Macaca mulatta: one gene and its partners. The protein of the gene in region 4 interacts with the protein of the main gene of each other region in a pairwise test. Links are inferred from orthologs where the notes say so. Each region holds a gene or a part of one and is shown on either strand. Other genes may lie near its edges.

Region 1 (5,065 bases), on a different chromosome or scaffold from region 4:
GCTCCAGCATTTCTCCTGCCTCGGCCTCCCAAGTAGCTGAGATTAGAGGTGTGTGCCACTGCGCCCAGCTAATTTTTGTGTTTTTAGTAGAGACGAAGTTGTACCATGTTGTCCAGGCTGGTCTCAAACTCCTGACCTCAGGTATTGCACCTGTCTTGGCCTCCCAAAGTGCTGGGATTACAGGCATGAGCAACCATGCCTGGCCTGTCATTCTTATTTTCTAAGAACTTTAGAGTATTCACCAAGGTATTCTAAAGTAAACAGGAATTTTTAATAGTTAAGCTATTATTTCTCTTTGTCACTTTTGAGTTTAAGGAGAGTGAAGATAGAGTTAGGGCTCATATGTGAGAGGTTGATGAAGCATTGTAGTGTATATTTTGAAATGTGCCACTTTGATGTTCAAGAGTAGAGTGTACAATCATGACAACAACAGTTGACTTACTCAAAATGAATAGGTAATTAAAATGCCTCTAGTAGCAGAAATAGCTTGCATTGGAAATGGCATTTGTAATCCTGAACAAGTTACTTGACTTAGTGTTTTATTTACTCTAAATATAAAGGCGTTAAAGTATATGAGCATAGCTGGGAGAGGTGTAGAAGTTGACAGATAAAGAATTACCTGGTTTCCCTAAAGTTAGAATGTGTGTCATTTTGAAATACTACTGTCTGAATAAATTATTCAGGCTTTTTGCTGTTTGTTTTATGCTGTTTTTCTTTGTATGTAGTTTGATCCAATTTAGCAGTAAATGAAGCTTTTATTAGCAGGTAAATTTATTTTGTTGTTGAGTTTTGATCTTGACACCCAGGCTGGTGTGCAGTGGTGTTTTCTCAGCTCCCTGCAACCTCTGCCTCCTGAGTTCAAGCCATTCTCCTGCCTCAGCCTCCTGAGTAGCTGGGATTACAGGCATCTGGCACCACACCCAGCTAATTTTTCTATCTTTAGTAGAGACAAGGTTTCACCATGCTGGCCAGGCTGGTCTTGAACTGCTGACCTTGGGTGATTCACCTGCCTTGGCCTCCCAAATTGCTGGGATTTCGGCCATGAGCCACCATACCTGGCCCAATAGCTAAATTTTAGTCATTACATTTTAACAAATGTTGAACAAGATCTCAACCTTTTTTTAATCTCCTCTCCTCAGAGTATGCTCAGGTAATCAAAATGTTGGGAAATGGACGATTGGAAGCACTGTGTTTTGATGGTGTAAAGAGGTTATGCCATATCAGAGGGAAATTGAGAAAAAAGGTAGGTGTGTGGGTTTCTTTTCCATAAAAGTTTGCTGTAAAAAAAAGTCTCTGCTTTAAATACATGGTCCAAGCAATTTATTTTTGTGAGTTCCCAAAATAATTTATGTAACAATGATCCATGTGACAATGTGAATAAAGAAAAAGTCTTTGATAACTTTTAGATTTACTTTTAAAGAATAATTTCTTTGTTTAACTTCTGTTGTATTCCTGCCAGAAATGTCTACCTTAGTATTGAAGAAACCAGACAAATCTAATATATAACACAAATGGTCTTGACTCAATTAAATGTTAATGCTGTGAAAGAATGAAAAATCTTCCTTTTTACTTTAGATTAAAAGAGATTAATCGGTGCATATCCCTTCATTAGGTTTTGGATTGGGGGAAATAGTTTTAGGTGGTACTATGAAAATTGGAATATGGAATATGTTAGACAATCTATTTGTTATAATACCACATCAGGTAGTTTTATAACTTACACTGATTAAAAGTCTCTACTACTCAGATTTTTAATTAAAATAATAATAACTTTTTTTTTGGCTGAGCTCTGTGGAAGTAGTAGCCAGCATACACTTGTAGTCCCAGCTGCTCAGGAGGCTAAGGCAGGATGATTGCTTGAGCCCAGCCCAGGAGTTCAAGGTTCCCATAAGCTAAAAATTGTGCTAATGCACTCCAGCCTGGGTGATAGAGCGAATCTCTATCTCAGAAAGCAATAAAAATAAAAAATCTTTTTGATATGTTAACATTCTTTCTTTTCCAAATTAGTGGCACTTTTAGGGGTTCTCTTAGTCCATTTGGGCTGCTCATTGACTGGGTAGATTATAAAAAACAGAAATTTTATTTCTCATAGTTTTGGAGAAAGAGAAATCTATTTAACATTTGGTGAGGACCCATTTCCTGATTATTATGTGGTGCCTTCTGGCTTAGTCCACACATGGTAGAAGTGATGAACAAGCTGCCTTGGACCTCTTTTTTAAAACCAAAGATTCCATTATTGAGTGATTAGCCCCCATCGTGTAATGACCTCGCAAAGGTCCAACCTCCTAGTACCATCACCTTGGGGATTCAAATTTCACCATAAATCTTTTGAGGAACACAAACATTAAGACAAGAACGGGGCTGTATTTATGTAGATTGGGCGCTTTTTAGTCATTTTATGTAGACATATCTGTATTTTGGACAATTACATGTCTCTCAATTTCTGAGACAAAGGATCTTTTGGCAGTTTAAACTCTTGAGTAATTGAGATAAAATTGTTATATATTTTTTTAACTTTCTAAGTAAGAAAATTTTAACAAACTCAACTGGATACCGTAGTTTTTTCATGCCGTACCTTAACTATGTACTGCATACAACTATACTACAGATACATATTACAGTGTTTTTTTCCTAATTTATTTTTAATTTTTGAGGTGAGGTCTCACTGTGTTGTCTAGGCCTCTCTACATTGCCTAGGTTGTTCTCAAGCTCCTGCACTGAAGTAATCCTCCTGGCTTAGCCTCCCAGAGTGCTGATATAGGCATGAGACACCTCTCCTGGCATCTAATTAATTTATTATTTTTTCACACTAGGTGAATAGTATACCTGTTTTGTACTTTAGTAAAAATGTTTAGATTCACTAAACATTTTTTTCTTTTGATTTTTATTAAATTAAAAATTTAATGAAAGTTTTTATTTTTAAAATAATCTGCAGTAAATGTCTTACAGGTTTGGATAAATACTTCAGACATTATATTGGTTGGTCTACGAGACTATCAGGTAAAAATAACATTTAAATTTGTGTTGTGACTTTGTATTTAAGCAGTTGTTAATGTTTGGAAGGTACTATATACTAGCATCTTTGACCCGTTCCAGCCCAGGATGATTTCTCACCATTCTGCCTGCCATCATCATTTGTTTAGGGCCAGTTGTGTTTAAGACTATAGTATTTTTCAAATTTGAAATAATTCTCACAGATAGTTAAGGGTATATGTATTTTTGTGGAAAGACATAAATTTTTTAATTCTTTGTTTTCATTGCTAATGTGCAGTAAATATTTTCTTGCAGGCTTGGGCAAGTACTGTAGAACATTCTGTCCTAATCCATTTAAAGGCCAATGGTGTTTCAGGCATTCAGCGAGGTATTTCAGACATTGTAGTTCCCAAATGCCAGTCTGTGAAATAGTATTGGTGCAGGCTGAAATTTCAATGCTCTGAAGTCACATTAGAAGATAACATAGTTAGGATGTTCTTCATGGAACACAATTGTTTGTTTACTTTTTAAATATATATTTTAATAACCTTTTTTTAAATGAGAAAGATAATATATAAGGTAGTAATTTTTATTAGTGTTCTAATTTGGCAAAGGAAAATTTAGTAATCTGGAGACTCATTTACCTAAAATTATTTTTAATATTAATATTTTGAAATTTAAAGTTCTTGAAATCCACATCTGGGAAACCACAAGTCTAGTTGATGCAGTTGAGTAAGTTGGTTCTCCTTTAAAAGTTTTATAGTTTGGTAGTGTAAAGTTAAGATATGCGTACCAAGTAGTTACGGTACAAACTGTTGTAAAGTACAGGCTATAAATTTAAAGTGAGCAGTGTATAACAAAGACAGTGGTGGGGTAACTGTTTAATCTGCAGTGTTGAAACTGTTTACATGCTATAGGTCTGTAAAATACATTTGATTTCTATCCATGGAACTCATCACCATTGCTTAACCACATTGAAAAAGTACTCCTATGTCTATATTTTTATTCTCTTAATATTAGGTAAAGTTTTCTGTAGTCATCTGTTAAATGTAGTTGGTTTATAATGTTCAAGTCTTCTGTTGATCTTTTGTCTGATTCTTTTCATTACTGTAAGTGGCATATTGAAGTTACTCTACTTTTCATCTTGAGAATTTCTACTTTTTGCATGACTTCAGTGTCTTTATTGACTTTCTGTTTAGTGAAATACCATTTTCATAATTTTCTTAACATTTTTAGACAGGATTTCTTTTTAAGTCTTTAAATATGTTTATAATCTCTCAGATAAACCAAGTCCAACTTCTGGGATTCCTCAGGAATAGTATTTTTTTTTCCCCCTGTGTTTGAGTCACTTTTTTACGTCTCTCTTTCTTTTTTTTTAAGCTGAACATTTTAACTACAACATAGCAGTTCTAGAAATCAGATTCCTACCTCTCAGCGTTGTTGTTGGTACTGCTTGTTTGGTGACTTTTCTGAACTAATTCTTTGGCCATTGAATAGTTGGTTAGTTTAGTGGGCAGTTCATGTTTCAATTAAGATTTCATTAAAATGAGCAAGATTTTAATCATTTAAAGAGGAATATTGTACATTTAGAGGAATACTTTCAACATTCAGCCAATGTCAGTCAACTGACACCTCTTCCTTAGTCTTCATTTCTTGCTGTGCAGGATCTGAAGTTCAGTTGGGTAATATTAGGGCTTTCCTATGTCTTTCTTTATCGTGTGCGCTACCCTGTACACATATTTGGCCTTTAAGATTTGCCAGAAGTATGTTAGACTTTACAAATTTCCTATGGATATCTCATTCCAAAGCTTTTCCAAGATTTTTGGTTATTATTTGTCCCAACTAGTATTACCACTTAAGGCATGTTAAAAAATTGCCACAGATTCCAGCACTTTGGGAGGCCGAGGCAGGTGGATCAGGAGGTCAGGAGATCAAGACCATCCTGGCTAACAAGGTGAAACCCCATCTCTACTAAAAATACAAAAAATTATCTGGGCGTGGTGGCAGGCATCTATAGTCCCAGCTACTTCGGAGACTGAGGCAGGAGAATGACATGAACCTTGGAGGCGGAGCTTGCAGTGAGCTGAGATTG
Region 2 (4,243 bases), on a different chromosome or scaffold from region 4:
AGCAAGCCACCATGGCACACATTCACCTGTGAAACACACCTGCACATCCTACACATGCACCCCGGAACTTCAAAAATAAAATGACATACACCTAGGTAGTAAGACTACAAAAAGAACATTAAGAATGGGATTACCGGCTGGGCACAGTGGCTCACACCTGTAATCCCAGCACTTTGGAAGGCTGAGGCGGGTGAATCATTTGAGGTCAGGAGTTTGAGACGAGCCTGACCAACATGGCGAAACCCCAGTTCTACTAAAAATACAAAAAAAACAAAAACAAAAACAAAAAAAACCTGCCAGGCACAGTGGCTCACGCTTGTAATCCCAGCACTTTGGGAGGCTGAGGTGGGCAGATCACGAGGTCAGGAGCTCGAGATCATCCTGGCTAACATGGCGAAACCCCAGCTCTAATAAAAATACAAAAAAATTAGCCAGGTGTGGTGGCACATGCCTATAGTCCCAGCTACTCGGGAGGCTGAGGCAGGAGAATCACTGGAACCTGGGAGATGGAGGTTGCAGTGAACCGAGATTGCACCACTGCACTCCAGCTTGGGTGGCAGAGTGAAACTCCGTCTCAAAAAAAAAAAAAAAAACCTTAAACGTCGGGACAGTGGCTGCCTCTAACAGGGAGAAGGGATGGATGGAGGTGACACATGAGGCTTGGGGAGGTTCTCTTTTGGGGTGCTGTGTTTGGTAGGTAGTGACTACACAAGTATTTGCTTTACATTATTTACAAAACTGTGTAAACATGTTTTATGCAGTCTTCTCTGTGGGTGATTATCTCAGAGGCAAAGAGTAATTCGAGTGCCTGGTAACAGGATTGGAGCTGAACAAAAGCTGGTTGTCTCCCACCCTCTCCCTCTGCCCCCACCGGTCCTGTGCTCTGCACTGCAAAGCCAGGCGCTGCTTGGGGTGCAAAGCAGGAGAAAGATGCTGAGTGAGGCGTGGGTGTGAGCTAGCCACCTGCTTTCCCGCCTCCACCCCACACACCGCCCCCAGGCACAAATGCCCCAGAAAGACACTGCCCAGAGGTTTTTTTAAAACCGCTTTATTCAGGTTGGCTGGTAATCACGGACTGGATCATGTATACAGGGCACTCCACCCCTAGGCAAAGCCCTCGGCCTCTCCCACCTCCCCCACATCATCACTGAGCAGCAACCAGAGGTGCGAGCCAATTCCAAGGGTAATTGGATCCAATAGAAATATTTACAAATAACCAGGGGGCAGGTGTCCCCCTGATAGGGAATCGTAAGGGAATTGAGTACCAGGGGGCCCTTGGCTCCCAACAGCCCCAGGCCCTGGGGTGGACTTGGCACAGGACCCAAGAGGGGGCTGGGGCATTGGGGGCCGGCAGAGGGGGACTCCTGGGAGAGCCTTGAAGACCCTCAAAGGGGTCCTGCTGGTGTAAAACTCTGCCTGGGGCCGTGGGTCCGAGGGGAAGACCCCTCCCTTCTGACTTGCCTTGTGACAGGGCAGAGAATCCTGGATCCCCTGCATCCCTGGAGGGTCGCACAGGGAGCTGAACAGGAAGGACCCGCCAGGAGGTGGTGGGGCGTCTCGCTGTTCCCGCAGGCCTCCGTGAGTGACCCTGCAGAGCCACTGCCCCAGAAGGGCCCTCCTGGGAACTCTGTTCCCTGAGTCTTCACCAGGGGAGAGGCCCTAGTTCTGCTCAGAAGACTCAAGTTCATATTCAGGGAGGGGTCACTGTCCACACCCCCAGGTCCAAGTGAGGGATGGTAGGAGGAGGGAGGTGAGGCTGGGGGCCCCGGCTCAGGACAGGATGGGAACAAGCAAGCAAAGCAAAACACTGGACTCCACAGAAGCTGGTGACAGGAAGGGGGTGGCCCTGGGCCCCAGCATGGTCCCCGCCCCAGTGTTCAGGGCGGACGGCCCCTTGGTGCCCAGGGCCACCTTCTCCGAGCCAGGTCACCACAGGGGTCTGCAAGGGCAGGGGTGGGTGGGGCTTACATGCTGAGCAAGGGGTGGTGGAAAGAGGGCCGACATGGTGGCCACAGGCGGCCTCAGGGATAGGGCGCGGCTGGACGCAGGCAGTCCGTCCCCAGTGGTCCGGCGGCTCCTCATGCACTCTGTACAGCGTGGGGGCGGGTGGGCAGGGGCAGGGGCATCAGTCTAGAGGCTGCAGGCCTCCTGGTCCACTGAGCGCTTCCTCAGCTCCTTGCCTGGCTTGGGGGGCGGCGGGGCGGGCGCGGCCGGAGGGGCTTCGGGCAGGTGCAGGACGGAGTTCTCCCCGGGCTGCACCCGCAGGTAGGCCTTGACCTTGTGGTGCCGGGCCTTGCCGTCGCTGAAGTCGATGACGCGGCACTCGTAGGTGCCTTCGTCCGTGGGCTTCACCCGAGACAGGCGCAGCTTGTGGGAGATGTTGCTGCCCACCACCTTGACCACCTGGGGGTGACAGAGAGACCGTGACCTGTCTATCCCGTGACAGTGGGGGAGAAGAAGAGTACGGGGGTCCCAGGATCCTAGGACTAGAGCCCCCAGAAACACTCCCACAAGGGCCCACCGAGGTTTGCACAAGAGTGAGTTAAACAGCAAAAAAGTAAAAGCAACTGCCATGTCCATCCACAGACTGCATAACTAAGCAGTGGTCTGTTCCCTGCATGAAGCACTGCAGAGTGGTCTGAAAGACGGAGCTAGAACTAGGCACATGAGCTCAGTGGCAAACAGCAGAGGGAAAGCTCTCACTGCTGCCTGCCCCCAGGGGATGCCATTTATGTAAATTAACACAGAAACCTACTCTATACTGGTTTTGGGGTCTTCCGGGTGTGGAAGTTTAAAATAGACAGGAGGGAACACCAGGACCTCCTCACAGTGGTGGACTCTGGGGCAGAACACAGGGGAGGAAGTGGACCTGGTATAGACTACAAAGCAAAGTCTTCATTTAGTCTGAAAGTGTACATTTCCTAAAAAAAAATAATAGAGGTGCCTGCAGTCCCAGCTACTACTCAGGAGGCTGAGGTGCGAGGACTGTTTGAGCCCAGGAGTTTGAGGCTTGCAGTGAGCCATGATCACACCACTGCACTCCAGCTTAGGTGACAGAGTGAGACCGATCTTTTTTTTTTTTTTTTTTTTTTTTGAGACGGAGTCTCACGCTGTTGCCCAGGCTGGAGTGCAGTGGCGCGATCTCGGCTCACTGCAAGCTCCGCCTCCCGGGTTCCCGCCATTCTCCTGCCTCAGCCTCCTGAGTAGCTGGGACTACAGGCGCCCGCCACCGCGCCCGGCTAATTTTTTGTATTTTTAGTAGAGACGGGGTTTCACTGTGGTCTCGATCTCCTGACCTTGTGATCCGCCCGCCTCGGCCTCCCAAAGTGCTGGGATTACAGGCTTGAGCCACCGCGCCCGGCCTGAGACCGATCTTTTAAAAACCAAACCAGGCCAAGTGTAGTGGCTCATGCCTGGAATCCCAGCACTTTGGGAGGCCAAGGCAGGCGGATCACTTGAAGTCAGGAGTTTGAGACCTGGGCATGTTGCCTGGGCAACATGGGGAAACCCTGTCTCTCCTAAAAATACAAATACTAGCCGGGGGTGTGGTGGTGCGTGCCTGTAATCCCAGCTACTCGTGAGGCTGAGGCATGAAAATCACTTGAACAACCTGGGAGGCGGAGGTTGCAGTGAGCCGAGACTGCACCACTGCACTCCAGCCTGGGCGACAGTGCGAGACTCTGTCTCAAAAAAATAAATAAATAAAATAAAATAACACAATAAAAAACAAAACAAAACAATATAAAGGCTGATGACAAATATATCGGAATGCTGAAAACTATTTACTTGGGGGGAGCAAGGATGTTTGTTATATTTGCCTTTGTACTTTGACTTTTTATTTGTTTGGGTTTTTACATTTCTGTTTTAAAATGGGAGTGTCACTTATACAGAGTAAAGTGCACACAGCCCGAGGAAATGTTTCCTGTGTAACCACCATCCAGAGCAAAGCATGGGACATTCGTGACCCCCTAGAGCACACCCTTCACTCAGCAATACTTCCCCCGCTGGGGTCCCCCGCTTTCTGACTGACTTCTGTCACCATAGTTTTTTTCTGCTTTGGAACTCTTGTATGTGTGGCTTCTTTCCTGTGCCTGGCTTTTTCAACACACTCTGTTATCGGTGAGATGTCTCCATGTTGCTGCCTGCATCTATTTGTTGGTTTGTTTGAGACAGAGTCTCCGTTGCCAAGCCTGGAGTGCAGTGGCGTGATCTCAGCTCACTGCAACCTCTACCTCCCAGTTCA
Region 3 (5,065 bases), on a different chromosome or scaffold from region 4:
CGAAAGACAGAGGTTGCAGTGAGCTGAGATTGCACCACTGTGCTCCAGCCTGGGCAACAGAGCAAGACCCTGTCTCAAATAATAAAATAAAATAAAATAAAATAAAATTTTAAAAATAAATGTTATGAGGCCGGGAGCAGTGGCTCACACCTGTAATCCTAGAACTTTGGGAGGCAGAGGTGGGCGGATCAACTAAGGAGTTCAAGACCAGCCTGGCCAGCATGGTGAAACCCTATCTCTACTAAAAATAAAAAATTAGCTGGGCATGGTAGCACGTGCCTGTACGTCCCAGCCACATGGGAGGATGAGGCATGAGAATCGCTTGAACCCAGTGGGGCGGAGGTTGCAGTGAGCCCAGATTGTGCCACTGCACTCCAGCCTGGGCTACAGAGTGGGGCTCTGTTTCAAAAAATTAAAAATAAAAATAAAAAATAAATGTTATGAGAGCATGTGGAGAAAGTGAAATTGATTCTGGCTGTGGAAGAAATATACAGATGAAAGGAGGAAAGCCTAGAAAGATAAATGAAAAAGGTTAAAGAAAAAGAGCATCTGAAATAAGCCTCATAGAAAAAAACAGAATTGAGATAATGACAGGCAAAAGTAAACAATAAATTAAATATCTTACTTTACAACAACCTTTTACTTCACCTCTCAATTCTTACAGTTAATTATGGACAATGAAAAGAATACTTTAATTATGGCTCTAAAATAAAGGCCTTAGAATTATTTTTAATTGATTTAAAGAAATAACAAAATGATTGTAAGAATGAACGAGAATTATCTAAAAAAATGGGAATTATCAGAACTACTGTTTCCATTTTAGTTAGAAATACAAACCATGCATGAAAACATTCAGTTTACATTTGAACATCTTAAAATTTCTTTAAATCTGGTGCTTAAGACCACAACAGAAGGGAAAAAATGAAAAACTAAATGTGCCTGTCCCATTCTGGACTCAGTGATAGCTGTGATCAACTAGCCAGCTGGTGTTCGAAACTATGTTCTTAAAAACTTGATTTTAAATGTATGTATGTTTAGAAAGAAAGAGAATGCTGGAAGCTATTAAATTTTTCAGAAAACATGGTTTTCTAAAAGATTTAAAACAAATGAACCACTGGCAAAAATAATCATTTAGGAAACTAAGTTCTGTGACAAATGTAGCCACTTCATTTACAGAAAAAGTCTTAATAATGTTAAAGAATCTGTAAAAACAGAGCCTTAAAATATACTCAGTCTAAATAAACCCTGAAGACTAATTACATAAAATCTTTTTTCAATAAATATTTTTCACATTCACTAAGCATTCCCCTGCAACAAATATTTATTGAGCCAATAAACTTCCACAGATTACTTTCTGGTGAGATCTTTTTATGCATATTCAAATTGGTCTGTTTTTAATTCTATAACAATGAGATACTGAAAATCTATTTACATACCACTAAGCAATTCTACACCACCTATTCATTTGGTGACTTTCTGTGAATACATACCACAAACAGCAGATTTATTCATGGAAACTGGCATTCAAATCAAATTATCCGTCAATTATTGTTATTTGTGACAGTTATGTTCTATAAAATCACCACAAACACTGAATTTGTGAATATATAATTGCTGCTACTAGGGGAAGTATAAGGTTAAGTTCCTGCAAGCCCCTGGTCACAACGTTTTCATCAACTGATCAATACATAACACATATGTACACATACATATATGTACACATACAGACCATATATAGAGATATATAGATAGATACAGATATGGCCTTTAATTTAAAATGGGAGATAGATAGATATATATATCAGACAGACAAGAAAAGATGCTTATGATATATTATTAAGGGGAAAAAAGGGAAGTTAAACAATACTATGTATATGATTCCTTCTGTAAAAAAACAAGAAACAACTTGCTTGTACTATATATGCATACACACTAAACAGCTAACAAGGAAGGGACTTTGGCAATTCCATTTTTTACAATGAGCATGTATCAGTTTTATAAGCATACAGTAGATTCTCAAAAAATGTTTTCTTATTATGGCCACTTAAAAAATGAAATAATGTGATACAAAACTCATGTTGTTTCAAATGATTCCTATAATCTTCATGTACTCAGGTAAATTCTGCTACATATAATTAAGAACAAACACCTCATATTTCAAAGATAGAATTTCAGTAAAACATTTTCAAAATGTTCTCAAAAATTCGCAAAAAATGTTCTCAACACTTGCCAATCCCCCAAACTGAAACATTCAATGATTTGTAACAGGGATTCACAAGCTTTCACTATACGGGTAAATATTTTGCGCTTTGCGGGCACAGATGGTCTCTGTACATATTCTTTGTTTTTCTTTCTTCTTTTTTTTTTTAATAACTCTTTAGGAATATTTTTCAGATTTCTTAGCTCAGAATCACACAAAAACAGGTCACAGACTGGATTTAGCTTGCCAGCCATAGTATGCCAACAAACCAGCATTTAGAAGTCTGATATTTTAAATATATTACACCAAAGGCGTCAGAGGTCACAACAGTTGAGTTTTATTCTACATTAAGTAAATAAGGTAGCATTATACCAATTAAAATTACAAGTTAATATATTGAATTCTATATGCTAGACTACAAATCAAATGATGTAACAACACAGCAAAATAAATTTCAAGCATTTATATTATATAACTGTAATCAAGAGTGTGCATGTGCATGCTTATAAAGCATGCACTTCTCCACTTGAAAAAAATCAGCTGAAATTTAACTACCACACACATCAAAGCTCAAGTCTCCTTTTACAATCATTAAAACCATTCACTCATTTAAATAATCAAAACTAGTAAGTGACTTGTTTTAGAGATCATCAATCCCTGAAAATTAAGAACTAATCAGAGACTTGTAGTGACTTACTCGCTTTTAATTTTCTAATTTATAAGAGATATTGTAAAATAGTAATCAATCTTCTAAAAGACTCCTCTTTGGAAGTTTATATTCTTGAAACTTTTTAATATTTACTGTGTCAGTAACCATCAATATACTACCTTTTTTCCTCTGAAAGATAGCTTTTATATATTTGATTTTATCTAAATTTGAAAGATCTTCATTATTATCCAGCTGTTACTATCAAATGAAAATTTCATTATGAATAATAAACTGGGTCAAAGTAAAAGTCTAAAATGAAAATTCATCCTGCAAAAGTAACCAAATACCATCATACAATAATCTTACCTAGACTGGTGGGTTTTATCAGTTCATCCAGTAAATCATAAAACGGTAATTTTTGAAGTTTTATATCCGGATGGACTGGGTGAAGAGCTGATGTAAGATGTGGGAGTTCCAGTTCATGTTTAGGTCCCAGAAGAGAAACAGGGAGTAATGGCGATGATGCAGGGTGACCATCGTAAGTGAGCTGTGGAATGGTAGATGGAGACAAAGTTGCTGGCATAGGACTTGAATGTACGTTGGGGATGGACAAGTCTGCAGGCGTCATGATTTTCTGCGGGAACCGCCGCCTATAGAGTTCCTTAATTTTCATTTGTACAGCAGGACTACAGCCAGCCTTTAGCAAATGCAGGGCTTTTGTGAGAAGTTCGTGTTTGCGTCCGTGCTTGTTCCTCCCAGCGTAGCCCAACAGTACTTGGAGTTCAGAAACTCTAAGGCTCATAACCATTTGCTTAGAGAAAAAACAAAATGTAAAACATTAGTATTCCAATAACATAATTTACACTATTAAATGACACTTTATTATAACCCCCTTCCTATGGTTTACTTAAGTAAATAAATGCCAGTTCACTTATAATCCTAATTATTTCAAACTTCAAATTTAATCATTTAACATAAGTAACCAAAAAAATTTAAAATTATTATTCATAAATTGACTTCTACCCTTGGTTATAAGAGATATAGGATAAACTATACACCAGGGAAAACCACACCTCACTTTATTCCACTGTTTTGATGAAACTGTCAGGTATTTATCAAGCACTTATTGAGTCTCCAGGAGAATGTCGAATGCTATGTAGACGGTAAAACATAATGATGTGCCCTCAAGAATATTTTGTTTTCTTGGGGAAAATTATAAGTATATATGAAACAACAAACAGTCCACCTCAAACACCAGATGTAGCCAGGATATCAATAGCTATTATCAAGTGTTACATTCTATACTAACTCTGGAATTTGTAGACTTAAGTTATACCTTTTGTGACCAATTATATATCAGATACTCGATTTGATATTTTCATATGGAATGTCATAATCTTTACAACTCCCCAGGGCATTATCCTGCCTGATTTACATATGAGGAGACAAGTTCAGAAAGGTTAGATAATTTATAAAGCCATAAAGCTACTAAGGAGTACTCAGGATTCAAACCCAGATATGTCTGATTCTAAAGCCCATGCTCTTTCCACTAAACCATTAGGAAAAAGACAGAGCTGGACTCATATTACTGACTCTCACTTAACTTGCATGGCCAAGTTAGAAGTCCAGCAATCCAATTCATATGCCATAATGTATGAGGCTGCAGTAAAGAAATCTATTTAACTTTGTTTACCTATGTTCACAAACTTATTTGGTCACTGTTTCTCCTTTTTCCCCACCTACTAATAGGAAATGCCCATCTAATACCAATCCTCCCATTTTAAAGTGGTGGAAAATGGAATCCAAAGAGAAGAAATCACTTACCCAAGATCACACAGCTATTAGCAGAATCCTAAAAGACTGCATCACCACTGACAGGGAGTATTAGGATAAAAAGACACATGTAAGCTTACCATTTGCTATTTCCCCAACTGATTCCTTCACCTCATACCAAATACACAAAAGCTATGCTGCCTTCCCTAACTCACCACCACTCACGATGATGACACCAGCCAATTCTTTGTAAGTGGCAAAACTATTAAGCAAAAACTAAAATACTGAGGAGAAAAGTATATAAAGAGCTTTATAAGCAACACAGCTGGTTAATCAAAGAAATACAAGTCCTTCCTCTACTTCTCTGGCTTGGAAAACTCTTTCCTCAAGGTTCAGCTTTTGTTAGCCTTTGCCCATTAGACCTGGTAGGATGATTTTTACTC
Region 4 (5,065 bases):
GGCTTATCACCCCGGGGTCCCCCCCACCCGCCCAGCAGAACCAGTACGTCCACATTTCCAGTTCTCCGCAGAGCACCGGCCGCACCGCCTCTCCTCCGGCCATCCCCGTCCACCTCCACCCCCATCAGACGATGATCCCACACACGCTCACCCTGGGGCCCCCCTCCCAGGTCGTCATGCAATACGCCGACTCCGGCAGCCACTTTGTCCCTCGGGAGGCCACCAAGAAAGCTGAGAGCAGCCGGCTGCAGCAGGCCATCCAGGCCAAGGAGGTCCTGAACGGTGAGATGGAGAAGAGCCGGCGGTACGGGGCCCCGTCCTCGGCCGACCTGGGCTTGGGCAAGGCAGGTGGCAAGTCGGTTCCTCACCCGTACGAGTCCAGGCACGTGGTGGTTCACCCGAGCCCCTCAGACTACAGCAGTCGTGATCCTTCAGGGGTCCGGGCCTCTGTGATGGTCCTGCCCAACAGCAACACGCCCGCGGCCGACCTGGAGGTGCAACAGGCCACTCATCGCGAGGCCTCCCCCTCCACCCTCAACGACAAAAGCGGCCTGCATTTAGGGAAGCCTGGCCACCGGTCCTATGCGCTCTCACCCCACACGGTCATTCAGACCACACACAGTGCTTCAGAGCCACTCCCGGTGGGACTGCCAGCCACGGCCTTCTACGCAGGGACTCAACCCCCTGTCATCGGCTACCTGAGCGGCCAGCAGCAAGCAATCACCTACGCCGGCAGCCTGCCCCAGCACCTGGTGATACCCGGCACACAGCCCCTGCTCATCCCGGTGGGCAGCACTGACATGGAAGCGTCGGGGGCAGCCCCGGCCATAGTCACGTCATCCCCCCAGTTTGCTGCAGTGCCTCACACGTTCGTCACCACCGCCCTTCCCAAGAGCGAGAACTTCAACCCCGAGGCCCTGGTCACCCAGTCCGCCTACCCAGCCATGGTGCAGGCCCAGATCCACCTGCCCGTGGTGCAGTCCGTGGCCTCCCCGGCGGCGGCTCCCCCTACTCTGCCTCCCTACTTCATGAAAGGCTCCATCATCCAGTTGGCCAACGGGGAGCTAAAGAAGGTGGAAGACTTAAAAACAGAAGATTTCATCCAGAGCGCAGAGATAAGCAACGACCTGAAGATCGACTCTAGCACCGTGGAGAGGATCGAAGACAGCCATAGCCCGGGCGTGGCCGTGATACAGTTCGCCGTCGGGGAGCACCGAGCCCAGGTAATGTTGGCCCGGGTGGCACAGGGATGGGACACCACACCGCAACGCCATCGTCATCTCCTGGCAAGACGAATTGCTTCTATGAGGCAGGATTAAGGGTTCTCAGGTACACCTAGACCTTAGACTCGGCCTTTCCCAACTGCGTTCTCTAGAAAAAATAAGCCCCACTTCCCCATGACCTCTGCTGTGTGTAATGAATTGATCTCCATGCATGGAAAGTGGGGCTAGTTATGGAGTCCTTGAGACAATTCAGAAACTCACCACTTTAGTTGTTTCTTGAATTCTGTGGTCAGGATGAGGAACCCCGATTAGGAAAGGCTGCTGGACATCAGGTCCTTCCAGCGGTCATTCTGCACTTTTTCCTACCAGGAAAAGACAGAGGATGCCGCTGGAGTGAGTGGATTAGGTGCTGAAGCAATCACATCCCATTGCAACATCCATGTTTTAAAATGGATGCTGGGTGCAGTGGTATATGCCTTTGGTCCCGGCTACTCCAGAGGCTGAGGCAGGAGGATCACTTGAGCCCAGGAGTTCGAGGCTGTAGTGAGCTATGGCTGAACCTGTGACTATCACTGCACTCAAGCCTGGGCAACATAGCAAGACCCCGTCTCTAACATATATATAATGTCTTACTATTATTTAGGTATGATAAGGCCAACAGATAGATCAGGAGACAACTCTCTTTAATGAGATAATTTGTTATACTCTCTGATCCCGAGAGGAAGGAGCACTCTACACCAAGAAGTGTAGAGCACCATAAAGTGGGGGGCACCTGGGGAAGCACCAGGTGGGTCAGGAGGCAGAGAGAGTGAGGGGAAATATGGCAGACAACAGCCTTTATTGTGGTTTTCATGAGGCAGGATAAACAGGTTTAGGATTGGCTAGAGTGGATAATTCCAGTGTGCTCTGGGGCATAGGGGCTGTCCCTTGTTGTCTGGCGGCTGGTGCTGGGGTGAGCGATACAGGTGGAAGGTCCAGGCACAGTGGGTCACACCTGTAATCCCAGCACTTTGGGTGGATCACCAGAGGTCAGGAGTTCGAGACCAGCCTGGCCAATATGGTAAAACTCCGTCTCTACTAAAAATACAAAAATTAGCTGGGCGTGGTGGTGGGCGCCTGTAGTCCCAGCTACTCCAGAGGCTGAGGCAGGAGAATTGCTTGAACCCGGGAGGCGGAGATTGCAGTGAGCCGAGATCAGGCCACTGCACTCCAGCTTGGCCAAAGAGCAAGACTCTGTCTCAGACAAAATAAAAAAAAAAAGTTAGCCCCAAGTGTGATGGACCAATATAGGAGTCTGTTGGGGAGTGGGCTCTGGACTGGTTGGTTTGCATATGAAAATCAGGCTTCTAGGAATTAGCTAATCCTGGGAGAGACTATACCTCTGGGATCCGCAAGACCCTAAAATATCAAAGCATCAGAAAGTAAAAGCATGGTTAATACAATCTGAGAAGTCAGGGCTGTCCCAGGTGACCTGCTGGGCTTGGGGTAAAGTCATCTGTAGCCAAGATGAGTCACTTGAAGTATGGTTAGCTGTCTTAATTTCCACAGGCTCCTTCAATCCACCCTTTTCCAGGTTCTTAGATTGATTACATGCATTTATTCCACAGCCCGTTTCTTTCACTGCCCAAGTTGCTGGGAGTCCAGCAGGTTCAGCCTGCAGCTGAGAGCTTTCCTGGCTATCGAGCTCACTTTCTACAAGTGTTTCCATCTAGGATTTGAAAACACTCAAATGGGACAGAGCCTCCTTCCAGCTTGAGTTGAAAATAGTCATGCAATAGCTGCTATTTGGGACATTCAGATAAAATAAAACAAGAAAAAAAGATAAAGTAATTAATGGTTTGAATTATTTTGGGCTTTTTTTTTTTTTTTTCATTTTTGAGACAGTGTTTCTCTGTCTCCTAGGCTGGAATGCAGTGGTGCAATCATAGCTCCCTGTGACCTTGACCTCCTAGACTCCAACGATCCTCCCACCCCAACCTCCCTAGTAGCTGGGACCACAGGTGCATACCACCATGGCCAGCTAATTTAAAAAGTAAAAAACATTTTAGTAGAGATGGGGTCTTGCTGTGTTGTCCAGGCTGGTCTCAAACTCCTTGGGCTCCAAGCAATCCTTCCACCTCGGCCTCCCAAAGCCCTGAGATTACAGACACGAGTCCCCATGTCTGGCTTTTTTGAGCATTTTTTAAAAGCCCAAGTGAGCAAAGGACCAAATCAGTTTTCCAGAACTGCTCCTGAATGACAGGATGTGGGGGCTTGCACAAAGTCAGGGCCCCGCATTGACGAGAGCTTTTAGCCCTGAATACTTTTCTTTGTATTATGAGATGTCACTGTGGGTTTACAGTCTTTGGAAGAGCCCAAGAAAGATTTCCCCAAAGATTTGATTTAAAAAAAAAAAATCAGGATTTTTAAATAAATGACATAATAATAGAGCTCACCAGCCCTCTGTAGTGGCTGTTCACTTCCTGCATGAATGAGGGGTGGGTACTAGGAGAAAGAAAATGCACTGCCGTGAGCAAAGCTGACTCTTCACAGACCCCAGGTGAAACACGGAAAATAAACATGAGCGAAAAGTCATTGCTTTTCAGGGTACTTAGAATCCTTAAAACATTTTTGTGAACAGAGGCAAGTGTGAAAAGAGGTTTTGTTTAGAAACACGACTGGTTCCTTGCCGGCCAGCATCTCCTTCAGCTTGAGAACGAAGGCAGACACTTCAGCTGTGGGCCACACCTCGCAGGCCTGGCAGCCTCCACAGAGCCCAGGCTCTTCTATTCTTTCATTTTTTATTTATTTTTTTTAATTTTTATTTTATTTTTCTATTTTTATTTTTATTTATTTATTTTTTGTTTTTTGGAGACAGAGTCTTACTCTGTCACCCAGGCTGGAGTGCAATGGGGTGATCTTGGCTCACTGCAACCTCTGCCTCTTGAGTTCAAGTGATTCTTTTACCTCAGCCTCCCAAGTAACTGGGATTACAGGCGCAGACCACCACCCCTTGCTAATTTTTGTATTTTTAGTAGAGACAGGGTTTCACCATGTTGGTCAGGCTGGTCTCGAACTCCTGACCTCAGGTGATCCACCGCCTCGGCATCCTACAGTGCTGGGATTACAGGCACGAGCCACCGCGCCCAGCCCCTTACAGCCCTCTTCTGTTCATGGGGGGGAAGAATCTAGGTGTGTTTTTCCCTACTCCAAACTTTGCAAAAGTATTGATTGAATGAAAGAGAAATTGGCTTCTCCATGAAGTCAGAGCCCTGTTCTCATGGTTTTTCCCATAGTGAGATCACTAAGTCCCTCTCCTGACAGCCAGGGTGCAGGTAGAAGTGTTGTCAGGGCCTGTTCGCAGGTCTGTGGGGTCGGGCCCCCATGGCTGTGTTGCATGCCGGGAAGGGCTTCTGCAAAGAAAGGCACGTGTGCTGAGACCTGCTGAAAAGGCAGCTAGGGCTTCACAGTGTAGAAACAAAAGTGCAAGGCCCTGACGCAACCAATGATTTGTCACTTTACCGAGGAGCCTATCAGAAATCGGCTGACATCATCGCAGCTAAAATACTCCACCAGCTGTGTTTGCCACAAGTGACAGGTTCAGAGTCAGCGGAGATTCAGACAGAGAGCATGAGAGGGGGAGATGGGAGGGAGAGAGATAATTCATATCTGAACTTAATTGAGGTTCCAAAGGCTACATCCTTCTCTCCCTCTGCAGTGCCCTCCTGAGGGCTCTTCTCCTCTAGCCTGAAGAATCTTCCTGGTCTTCTCAACGGGTTAGGCATCGCTGACACCGCACCCACAGAGAAATTCAGAAATGTGCAAATGGTTGAGCTTACTAAGCAAAATCACAAATTTGATTG

What was found.
Region 1: the proteins of ATXN1 (region 4) and EIF1AY interact in binary tests that used the Homo sapiens proteins (3 or more experiments, as listed by UniProt). The link is inferred for Macaca mulatta from reciprocal best matches to the Homo sapiens genes ATXN1 and EIF1AY.
Region 2: the proteins of ATXN1 (region 4) and VSTM2L interact in binary tests that used the Homo sapiens proteins (3 or more experiments, as listed by UniProt). The link is inferred for Macaca mulatta from reciprocal best matches to the Homo sapiens genes ATXN1 and VSTM2L.
Region 3: the proteins of ATXN1 (region 4) and PIAS1 interact in binary tests that used the Homo sapiens proteins (3 or more experiments, as listed by UniProt). The link is inferred for Macaca mulatta from reciprocal best matches to the Homo sapiens genes ATXN1 and PIAS1.

Annotation. Positions count from the first base shown.
Region 1 is NC_133427.1:8,127,855-8,132,919, forward strand, and holds part of EIF1AY (eukaryotic translation initiation factor 1A, Y-chromosomal), read left to right. Parts: intron 1-1,139; coding exon 1,140-1,243; intron 1,244-2,949; coding exon 2,950-3,000; intron 3,001-5,065. UniProt on the Homo sapiens protein: Component of the 43S pre-initiation complex (43S PIC), which binds to the mRNA cap-proximal region, scans mRNA 5'-untranslated region, and locates the initiation codon. This protein enhances formation of the cap-proximal complex.
Region 2 is NC_133415.1:90,805,928-90,810,170, reverse strand, and holds the end of VSTM2L (V-set and transmembrane domain-containing protein 2-like protein precursor), read right to left. Parts: intron 2,404-4,243; coding exon 2,131-2,403; 3' UTR 1,033-2,130; downstream 1-1,032.
Region 3 is NC_133412.1:45,638,573-45,643,637, reverse strand, and holds part of PIAS1 (E3 SUMO-protein ligase PIAS1), read right to left. Parts: intron 3,661-5,065; coding exon 3,216-3,660; intron 1-3,215. UniProt on the Homo sapiens protein: Functions as an E3-type small ubiquitin-like modifier (SUMO) ligase, stabilizing the interaction between UBE2I and the substrate, and as a SUMO-tethering factor. Catalyzes sumoylation of various proteins, such as CEBPB, MRE11, MTA1, PTK2 and PML.
Region 4 is NC_133409.1:166,757,018-166,762,082, forward strand, and holds part of ATXN1 (ataxin-1), read left to right. Parts: coding exon 1-1,223; intron 1,224-5,065. UniProt on the Homo sapiens protein: Chromatin-binding factor that repress Notch signaling in the absence of Notch intracellular domain by acting as a CBF1 corepressor. Binds to the HEY promoter and might assist, along with NCOR2, RBPJ-mediated repression. Binds RNA in vitro.